Linked DNA regions of Saccharomyces cerevisiae S288C. The protein of the gene in region 2 interacts with the protein of the main gene of each other region in a biochemical or structural test. Each region holds a gene or a part of one and is shown on either strand. Other genes may lie near its edges.

Region 1 (3,871 bases), on a different chromosome or scaffold from region 2:
AGCATAAGCTGAGATCAAGAAAGGTAGAGGAGGCTGAGATTGATAGGATTGTAAAAGAATTTGAAACCCGTAGATTGGAAAACATGAAGTCTCAGCAAGAAAATCTAAAACAATCGCAGAAACCTCTTAAGCGGGCTAAAGTGTCCAATACAATGGAAAATCCACCGAACAAAGTCCTTCTTATACAAAATTTGCCAAGCGGCACTACCGAGCAATTATTGTCGCAAATACTTGGCAATGAGGCTTTAGTTGAAATCAGATTAGTTAGCGTTCGTAACCTAGCTTTCGTGGAATACGAGACCGTTGCTGATGCTACGAAAATCAAGAATCAGTTAGGCTCCACTTACAAGCTACAAAACAATGACGTTACCATAGGATTTGCTAAGTAGAATTTCCTTTGCGGAAGTATACCTCGAGTAAAGAAATTCACAGATAAATTTGAATAACGTTCTCCATTATGAATAAATATGTATTTACAAGCTTAGAAAATAATGTGCTCTTTATTTACCAAATAATACAGTTCTCATTGCAGTAAATAAGCTTTCCTTTTTCTTACCGTCAACGGCATTTATTAACCGTTGATAATATTGGGGATTTCCTGCAGGTTTATAGAGCTTATCGCCAATATCGTAATAGTTTCTGAATTTATTATTCATTATAGTGCTCAAGGCACGAATTTGCTCGTTGATGCTTTCTTCCGTGAATTTCTCATCTACCATTTTATTTTGAATTTTGGTTAACATCTCCTTATTCAGTCCTAATGGACCGGAAGTTCTGTTAATTATACTTTTTATTTCATCTAATGAGGGTTTTTTCTCTTTTATAGATTTTCCTTTGTCATCTACATTTGGCAGACCCGCTACACGTCTAAATCTTGCTATTTGTACATCCCTGAATGAGACCAAGTGGTGTATACGATCCTTTGGATATTTTTCCAGTAAATTAACTAATTTTTTGGCAGAATCCCTGACGACCTGGGAAGAAGACATTTTGGCACTTGCTTGTGGAATACGGAGTTTAACTTGGTAAGCTGATAGAGAGAATGTTTCAATGAAGGCTACCTTTTTTTCTTATAATGTTGCTACCACAGGAAATCTTGATATACGTTAATGTTTTGGCCCCTACAAGGCCGGAAATATTTCGCTTTTTCTTGATATCAGAATTTTTCGCATGTCCGACCATGCGCAGAGCTGCTATGAAAGTACTTTAACTATTAGTGTGAGGAATGGCTAAATAAACAGCAGATGTGATTTCCGCACTTCTTTTATAAACTTCCAAAATAATCGTATTAGTGGACAGTACATAATCATATCTTGCAATACGTATCAATAGTAAACGAATTATTTATTCATACACACATGTATATACTTCTCGCTTCTTTTTTTAATTTACATGTTTGGCGATATATAGTTAAAATTAAGTCATTTATTTAGTCAGTTTCAGCTTCAGCTTCAGCTTGGGCAATAAAAGGAGTCAAATCCTTGGTACCTTCTTCCCAAGAAGCACCATTGTAAGTGATATCGCGGATAGCCTTGATGACATTTTCGACGGAACCTCTAACTTGCTTGGTGGAATCTCTTTCTCTCAAAGTGACAGAATGGTCTTTGGCAGATTCAAAGTCAATGGTGACACCGAATGGAGTACCTAATTCGTCATTACGGGCATATCTTTTACCAATGGAAACTCCAGAATCATCAATCTTAAATGGGATTTGAGACTTTCTTAAGATTTTGGCGACTTCAGTAGTAACAGGAACTAAATCTTTGTGGTTAGATAAAGGAACTAAAAGAACCTTTGTTGGAGCAACCAAAGGTGGGAAGGAAAGAACACTTCTGGCATTGTCTTCTGGTCTGTTCCAGAAAGAGTGCTCAAAAACGGAGTAGATGATACGGCCAATACCGAAAGATGGTTCAATGACACTAGGAACATATTCTCTAACGTGTTCAACCTTTGTTCTTTGTTCGATTTTAACCAATTTATCGTCCAACTCGACTTCGCCATCAACACCATCAACCTTTATAGTAAACTTGCCATTTGCCTTCAATAACTCAGCCTTGGAAGCCAAGTCATCTTGAGACATATTCAATAGATGAGATTCAACTTTTGGTGCATCTTTTCTGAATTTTGGACCGAACAATTTTTTCGTCAAATCAATTTCCCACTTGGTGACTTCAATTGGATTATCTAATTTTTGTCTAACAACCAATTTTTCTTTGGTCTTTTTGGAATGAACGGTCAAATCATAGGCAGATCTATCAGCACATCCGACACATTCAATCCACCCGTAAGATGTCTTCAATTCACCATCCCAACAGTCAGCAGCATAATGTGCCATTTCATTAGCCATATGTTGACGGAATCTCAATTTGGACTCATCAACACCAATTTTCATCAAAAATTGGTAAATTCTGGCAATAAAGTAACCCAAAGTTTCATTATCGACCATTCTTGAAGCAACTGCTTCACCAACTGTCTTGACAATTGGTTCAGTAGAACCAGCTTCTTGAACATCACGAGGCAAAAAGGAAAGCTTGATGTCTTTGATTTCATTAAATTTTGGATGAGATTTGTCCAATGGGTCAACGAAATGTTCAATCTCTGCCATCAAAAATTCACGGACTCTTAATAAACCGGCCCTTGGGGAAATCTCATTTCTAAATGATTTACCGATAGAGGCTGAGGCAAAAGGGGTCTTACTGTTGTTAAATTCTAACAACTTGTTAAAATTCAAGAATTGACCTTGGGCAGTTTCTGGCCTCAAGTAACCCTTTAATTGACCAGATGGGCCAATAGCCGTTTCAAACATCAGGTTAAAAGCCCTTGGAGATTCTAAAGTTTCTCCGGTGACTGGGTTACCGATATCGTATTTTTCCATCAATTCACCTAATTCTGGGCCGGAATAACCATCTATTTTAGCCAAAATTTCTTCATATTCTTTGACAACGTCGTCATCCAATTTGACTGCTTTAATTTGTTTAACTTTTTTCTTTCTCTTCTTCTTTTCGGCATCGTCCTTAGCAGCGGCATTAGCATCCTCGACTAAACCTCTGGCTTCTTGGTCACCCTTTAAGCGAGCTTCCAAAACTTCTTCGACTAAATGGTCAGCTCTGAAAATCTCACCAGTCTTCAAATCTCTACACATCCAATCAGAAAATTTGTCAACATGACCTGAGGTCTTCAAAACCTCATATGGAGTTAACATAGTACAATCAACTTCCAACATATCTTCTTCCAAAATAAAATGCTTTCTCCAGGCGTCAATGATGTTGTTTTGGAATGCACAACCTGGTGGACCATAGTCATATAAACCAGAAACCCCACCGTACAAGTCAAAAGCTGGGGCATAAAAAAATCTTCCTCTCAAAACACTTTCTAGCTGTTCTCTGTTAAATGGAACAGCGGCTCTAGCCTTCTTGATATCTTCTACACTCATTCTTTTAATCTTAACCGATTTTTTAACAATCTGAGAGTAAAATCGTCTACTGATATTGAAGAACGACAATTTTTCTTGAAAATCAACACGAATGCAAAAAGGGAAACTAAAATAAAAGAAATCCTCAAAAGTAATTGAACAGATTTCGAGTCCTAATTGCAAGTAAAATTATGTATACAAAGTACGTGATAAGTATCGCAGCAGTGATTCAACACTCGAGAAGAGTAAAAATTTTCAATTTTTTTCCACTGCGCTGAAATATTACGAGGCGTAGAAAATGATCACTACAATGCCGTTGCTGCTTATTGCAGCGTAAGTGAGCTTCATTCACAGACCATTTGCCTCGATAATCCATGAATCATATCTGGTTCATATTATGTTTGTAAATGTGTGTCTTGTTGCACTTAATCTATCGCGATAGCGCCAAACCAAGCGTTC
Region 2 (7,516 bases):
GAAGTCATCATCAACATCTTCTTCAATGTCACTTTCGTCTTTACTATCGTCGTCCTCGCCCCTCCACCTTCTTATACATTCTTCAGGTGAAATGTTGTCCATGTATATCAGCTTACCGATATTCCAGGTCCTTTTCTTACTTTCAGTTTTCTTCAGCTTGTTTGCCGCTGTTCTTTCCCAGGAAAACTCATCTTCACTCTCTTCAAATTCAGAATCTGTTTCCAAAGCTAATTTTTCGGCACCCTGCTCACCGGTATTATTGAAATCGATTTCAACCATCCTTGGTTCGGAGTCCTGCACGTCGTCATCATTTGTATAAGGTTCTTCATCACTCGGTAAATTATCAATATCTGCGTCTTCTTCTTGAACTGGCTTACCATAAATTCTTGGTTTTCTTAAACTGGTTCTTCCCTTGCTCTTTCCTTCATCGTCCTCAATACTTTCTTCTCCACTTTCAACATCCATGCCTTCATGATCGGCAACTTCATGAAGCTCAGTGCCGTTGCTAAACAATTGCAAACCCACACCATCAAATTTCTCTGCAATACTTTGTTCAACACTTTGTAAACCCGTCATGAGTTTTTCTCCTTCACCTCTTTCTTGGCCGGGAACAAAACTTGGCTCTTCATTTTTCTTTCCAATATCAATATAAACAGCATCCTTATCCATCAACACACCTCCGACATCGGACATTGGAGCATATATCAATTTATCTTTATCATCTAACCTTTTACGTCTTCTTGTCGTAGAGGCAGTTGTAATTTCTCCGTTAGCCTTTGCCTCTTCTTTCATTTTTTCACGTTCAAAATCATCCAGTTTCTGTTGGTAAAAAGGTGTGGGACATGGATCTGGTAATTTTTCAATTTGTGCTACTGAGAAATCACCAACACCAGCAATATGCACCCTAGTGCCCGGAGCAGAAGGCAAAGGAGTACCGTGCAAATAACCATAGATAGCGACTTTGCGGTCGATTTGCAGTCCTTGAGTCTCTATTAATTCCGGATGAGTTAAATCTGTGAATCTGTCAGCCAACATATAGGGATGTTCGTTCCTCCATTTTAATGGTCTGAATTTCATAACAGATATAAATCGTGAAAGGTTTAAAATCTCTCTATCAGGATACCTTCCATTAATCACACCAGATAGGTAAAATAATTTTGCACCTTGATAAACTTCCGTCCAGAATCTGTGCTTTAATCTTTTCTTAGAAGCTCTCAAAGTTGACTGAGATTTAAACAGATCAAGATGTGTAGCTACACCAAGTACTCTTGGCATACCGTGATGTTGAGCAATATTTAAGAATTCCATTGTTTCCATTTCAAAACCGAAATTACCGTCAATTAGTAAAAGAACCAAGTCGGCAATCTTAGCAATATCAATCATCGCATTCAGATCGTCCGCAGGGCACTCCAAAAAAGTTAGTCTTCTATGTTTACCAGAGACAACAGTAATAGGACCTTGAATATCATTCAAAGTGCTTTTTGTCATTCTCCTGACGAGGGACCGAATCAAAGTAGTCTTTCCTGTTCCAGGTGGACCCACGACAGCGACGATAAATGGAGGCGGATCATCTTCAGGGGTACGATCAACCATAGGAACATGCAGTTTTCTTTCGTTCACATCACTTGACCTTTGCATAGTTCTCGCCATCTTACCTGGGGCTGCCACGGCAAAGGCCTTTGCATTATGACCCTGCGTATGGAGCTTCTTTTTTGCTGTATTCTTCTCCTTCGCCTTACGGTGCTGTTTATTAGACTGCTCCATCGTTTCAGATAACTCAGATGGCTGATTAAAGGCTACTATTATGTGATATTTTTACCTTAACAGCGCAAATACTTTCCTTAATTTTGAAGCTTCACTTCAGCTCATCGCCTTGAAAATTTTTCATTTGTACGGACATTAAACTTAGGCGATAACAAAAAAAAAACTTCATCTAGATAATCTCAACTTTGAAATTACAGAAATATTTACAACAGTAGTACGAGTATCTGCACTATGGCTCACATGTCCTTAAAATAATCTAAGCTTACCTATCTGATATTTGTTTTGATATTGTTTAGGACCAGCAGTTTCTGAGAGTTTAGCAAATGCACCTTTACAGCTATCCTCAACTTTTGGAAGAGAAAGTGACAAGATATGTAACAATACTTGCATGAATCGACATTTGTTTACTTTGGTCCATTTTGTATATGATAGTGTGATTTAGCGATATGGAATTATGTGTATTTTTCTATTTGTTGTCATTTCAATATGGGATGACTTGTTTTCTTGTAACGCGCCACTTCAATAGTAAACATTATGAACCTGATAAATGTTAGCAGACTTAGTAAGAGAGACAATCATTTTCATTCAGTAAAAATCGCAATCCCTAGTTTGGCTCTTCTTCTAGCCGTACTTTAAATTCAAAGCAAAAATGGTTCTGCTTAACAGAAGGAAAATACAACCTAAGGAAATAGGACAGTCTGCTGATTCCTTCTCTGAAACTCCATGGGTGATTAAAGAAAGTAGCGAGCGTATAAATGATTATGACAGTGATTTAAAAAAGCTAGATTTTTACAAAAGGGATATATTCACCTGTGAGATTAGTGGAAAAGATGGCCTTTCGTATTTCAAGGCGTTAAAAAGCGAAGAACAGCACCGTGAAAAGGTCAGATATCTTTTACCAAAAGAACTAAGGAAGGCTATAGCAAATTTCGCAAACTTCAGTCCGATAAGGAAGGTAGGACACCTTGTAGAAAGCGCATTTCAGCGTTTTAGTAACCGTTTCTTTATAGGCGATACGGTGTGCTTGAAAACTATCCAAAAAAATGCATTGATTACCTATAAAGAAGGAGAGCCTAACTTGGTAGAATCACCAACTATTGAAAACAATGTCACGTTGTTCCTTGTCAAGGATGTGTTTCAATCTAACGGGATGATGGAAAGTGAAAAGGGAGAAATTTCTGCCCCAAAATTGTCACTGTATTTAATCACAGAATGCCTGAATCGAGAATCTAAAGGTGCGGCCCTAATTGTAGGCCAGAATGAAATTAAAAGGCCAGAATCACACTTTTCTAAATTCATAATTGCGTGTTTTCTTAATGAAATACTCATAAAAGTATCGAATAAGGAGCACGCACCATGGAGGGTGAAACAAGAATATATAGAAAGATATGATGTAAACCCTAAATGCTCTCCTAATATGATTGATTATTTGCCGGATAGAATGAACTCATCTTCTTCCGAGCTTTACACTCCTCTTACTATACCACCAGAGAGCGATGTTGAACCTGCTGACTGGAAGGAAACGTCGGAAACGTCGGAAACGTCGGAAACGTCACTATCTAAAATAAAAGCAATTGACGACGAGATTTCAGTCTCATTTGACCACATTTACGATAATGTGAACTCCCTTGCCTACAATGATTTGAAGGGAACCGTCGACGACAAGGAGCTTCCATTCACTGGGCCTTCGATACCATTTGAAAATATCAGCTACTTAGATAGCTCCTTAGAATATAAGAATATCGATCAAAAATGGTTCAAAGAGTGCAGTCAATTTCCAACGGAACGACTATTGGTTGTTTATCAATTCCTGAGCTTTTTTGGACGTTTTATTGGTCTATCACATTTTAATTTTGATCAGTTCCTTACTACTATCAAGTGTACTAGTCCGGAGGCTTTAGTAGATGAATATGTCAAAATAAACTTTCTTAAAACTTACAACAGCAAAGGGAGTTTCACAAATGAGAAGCCAAGAAACGAAATATATAATCAAGTGACCAGTAGTAACGTATCCCAGCGTGAGAAGGCTAACGTCTTTAATGCAGATGAGAGTCAACGAATACCTAGCAATTTCACCAGAAACCAGAAAATGAGGAAATTTATAACGGATAAAAGTACTGAATTTGTAATGTATTCCATTTTTAAAGGGAAGCCTCTAAAAAATGACGATATGGAGTTTCAATCGTACGAAAAAGTGAATATACTTTACATTGATATAGTTTGCTCGTTAATGTGTCTGATGACGGATAATGAACCTGATTGGAATTGTAATCTGATGGACAATTGGACTGAAGAAAAGCGAAAGGAGGAAGGAAATAAAACAGAAATTGATATAGCTATAGAAAAGTGTTTGAACTATGGAGATACTAGCTGGGTTAAACTTTTGCACAATAAAAACTTTAGCAACGGCAATTGGTTGATCTGTCTCCTTGGAATCTTGCAACAGAATACACATATGATAGCATATAGTGATGTCGCAAAATGTATCACAAAAAAAATACTACCTTTATCCATGAATTTTGTAAATTTAGGTGATGAGCTCTGGGATAACTTTCGCAAGAGATTATCTATAAAAGATAAAATTGATGTTTTATGGGTTCTCGTAGATTTTGCGTCCAATTTCTCGAGTTATATTAAGGAGTTGGTAGATAAAGTACCAAAACTGTGCAATGGAATCCGCTTAAAGTTGGATAGTGCAAAAAAAGAGTATATCAAATTGAAACGGCAACTAAAAACGTTAACCAAAAATCGCGTGAAGCTTCACAGCAACGTTTCAATGAACCGATATGGATCAGATGAATGTAAAGGTAAGGTCAATGCCCTTAAAGTGAAAATTGCATACTTAATGGAAGATATCGCCTTCCTAGAGGCAAAATTGATTCAGAGCGATATCAAGAGACTAGAGATTTTGGGTAAAGATAGAAATGGAAATCGATATTATTGGATGGACTCAAATGGATCGTCATCAGCCATCAGTGAAAAAAATGAGGAACTTTACAACTGCTGTTTTTTGTGGGTTCAAGGACCCTCTGAAGCGGATATAAACTTTTGCTTAGATGTCGACGTCGAATCTTTGAAAAAATGGGAGTTGTTAGCTAAAGCAAAAGGTACTGCCTACGCGACAAAAGAAGTCTTTTCAATATTTAGGTCGACAGACGGGTCTTACTATCAAATTGCTCAAGGTGAGAATTTCATGATAATTAATTCAAACGGTATCTTAATGAGGCCAACTATTCCGGCATTCATAGACAAAAAAATTATATCAGAAACTCCAGAAAAGCTCCTACTCTCTCATCATCAATGGGCTTTCTTCAACGATATAGAAGATATACATATGTTAGTAGATAGGTTGGATGATTTAAGAGAAAATGAGGGACAATTGAAGAAAGCTTTGACATCCAAAATGGACCGTATTGAAGTATCATACAAGCAACAGTTCAAAATTAAAAGGCGTATTGAATGTGATGAAACCTTCAAAAAAAATCACAAACTTTTGAAAAATAACGAGTTCACGTTTCCTGAACTGAAAAGAATTGAGACAACTTGTACATCCAACGGCCAACATTTTTCCAACATGGAGAAAATTTCCAAAAAACTATCAAGGACAAAGAATGATCTCGTTTTGGAAGCGATTTTAAAAGACGTAGCTCACCTTGGAGAATGTGAAAGAGCACTTCTCAAAAAGCAACAAAATTTGATTTATCCTTTGAATTTTCATTTCGAACAATTGAGGACGATAGACCTCGAATTTATAGTTGAAACGAAAAGAAAAAGGCAAGAGGATATTCTTACGAAGCTTTTAAATCATCAGAGGTATAAGCATATTAGTCATGTTTCAGGCTATGGGATAAGTTCTCAACGAGTAGATAAAGCTGCACATCTTGATGTGCAGGGTATATTAGAGGAGATTGAATGTCAACTTATTTCAAGACGACGAGAGGATGAAGAACGCAACTAGAAACAACTCTGCAGTTCAAATCACTCTTCCTGTATACGCCTTAGAAAGATATTAGAAATATCTTTTACTATTTAATCTTCACCATTCATTATTCCTCGTATATAAATTGGCCCATTTCAGGGCGTCTGACTGGAGTTGTATTTAGGCTTTACCCGGCGTTCTTCTGAATTTATAGCCAGCAAGGAAAACAACGTCAAAATTGGTCCTCGACTGACGCATTAGTAAGATTAATATTTAGCAAACACTATGATCTCCGTAACAATCTCTTCAGCTATTCCAACACTTGATGATGTCAGTCAATAGATTTACTTCAGGTCGACTCCCTGTTTTCCTTAGAAAGTCCCCTTTTTACTACTCGAGAGCTTATTTGCATCAAACATGTGTTTTCAAGCAAAATAAAGAAACTGCACAAGATTCGCCAGAGCTTTTAGCAAAAAGCTCACATCTGAATTCGAAACCACTAGATGTAAGCAATAAAGCACCAGTGAAAACTGCTCAGAATAAAATTCCTCTAGCTCATAGTAAATATGAATCGTCAAAGTACGAACTTCCCAAATGGAAAGAAGCCTTGGGTGAACTAGTAATTCGAGCATTTCATTTAGATATGGATAGAGTGAGGGCAGGGCCCGTTGCAGGATCTTACTATTATAAAATTTGTAAAGAGCAAGGTTTACAATACGAGGACGAGCCATTATCAGAAACTGCTAAATACTTTTACGAGGATTTGAAGCTACCACGTACTTTTTCACAATGGTTTCAAATCACTGTATTGCACGAGTGGATACTTTTTGTACGTATGAGAGCCATGCCTTTCAAATACGGCAGAAACTATCAGCAGAAATTGGTAGATAGAACATTTTCTGACATTGAGCTGAGATTATTCGAGGAAATGAAAGTTAATTCTGGTAGAATCGCAGATCAATATTTGAAAGATTTCAATACGCAATTAAGAGGAGCGATATTTGCATATGATGAAGGATTTGCTACAGATGATGGTACACTTGCGACAGCTGTCTGGAGAAATCTTTTTGGTGGAAGAAAGAACATTGATATGGTTCATTTAGAGTCTGTTGTGAGATACATTTATTCTCAACTATATGTTCTAAGCAGGTTATCAGACAGAGAGTTTGCCACAGGTAAATTCAAGTTTGTTCCTCCTGGGGTGAAGGTCGAAAAACTGACACCAAAGCAAGAGGAAGAGTTGAAGGCCAAGACCATTGCAAAATATGAAGCTCTAGACAAGGATCCTAAAACCTTACCAAGCGAGAGAAGTAGGCTGTCATATACAAACTAAACGAGCTAGTTTGTAACTTCAAAACTTATGAAAACACTTATTTATTCTTCAGATACTATCCGCACAAATTCCTTAAGTTTTTTCCAATTTTTTGGGCTTTCTTCCTTATTTAATCAGTTTATAAAATCATTACGTTGTAAATAGTTTATTTGAATTTCTTCAAAGAAGCGGACCACTTTTCTGGTTTATTTTCATGGAATAATTGATATAATGCGTCAATCAATTCGACATGGAATGAACCACTTCCTTGACAACGGGTGGAAGCCAACTTACCAGCTGATTTGTATAATAGGACAGCACCAACCACAGCATCAAACAGTTTTCCAGTGGAATCTAACCCACCGATAAAGGAAGCAATTGTAGAACCAAGTGAACATCCACTTGCAGTGATGTCACCCATGATAGGAATTGGGCCATCTTCAATTATTACACATGGAAGATCTTCAGCGGTTATTCCTTCTGTTCCTGATGAAAGTTTGTATTCGCCTCCAAAAGTACCA

The links.
Region 1: the proteins of CBP3 (region 2) and CBP6 are reported together in a solved structure, tested with the Saccharomyces cerevisiae proteins (one study listed by BioGRID).

Annotation. Positions count from the first base shown.
Region 1 is NC_001134.8:479,935-483,805, forward strand, and holds CBP6 (Cbp6p), read right to left. Parts: upstream 990-3,871; coding exon 501-989; downstream 1-500. Other genes in the region: MUD1 (Mud1p), read left to right, coding at 1-389; GRS1 (glycine--tRNA ligase), read right to left, coding at 1,430-3,433. UniProt on the Saccharomyces cerevisiae protein: This protein is involved in processing of the 5' terminus and the intervening sequences of cytochrome b pre-mRNA.
Region 2 is NC_001148.4:141,408-148,923, forward strand, and holds CBP3 (Cbp3p), read left to right. Parts: upstream 1-6,008; coding exon 6,009-7,016; downstream 7,017-7,516. Other genes in the region: GTPase BMS1, read right to left, coding at 1-1,764; YPL216W (uncharacterized protein), read left to right, coding at 2,414-5,722; THI6 (bifunctional hydroxyethylthiazole kinase/thiamine-phosphate diphosphorylase), read right to left, coding at 7,162-7,516. UniProt on the Saccharomyces cerevisiae protein: Chaperone required for the assembly of ubiquinol-cytochrome c reductase of the mitochondrial respiratory chain.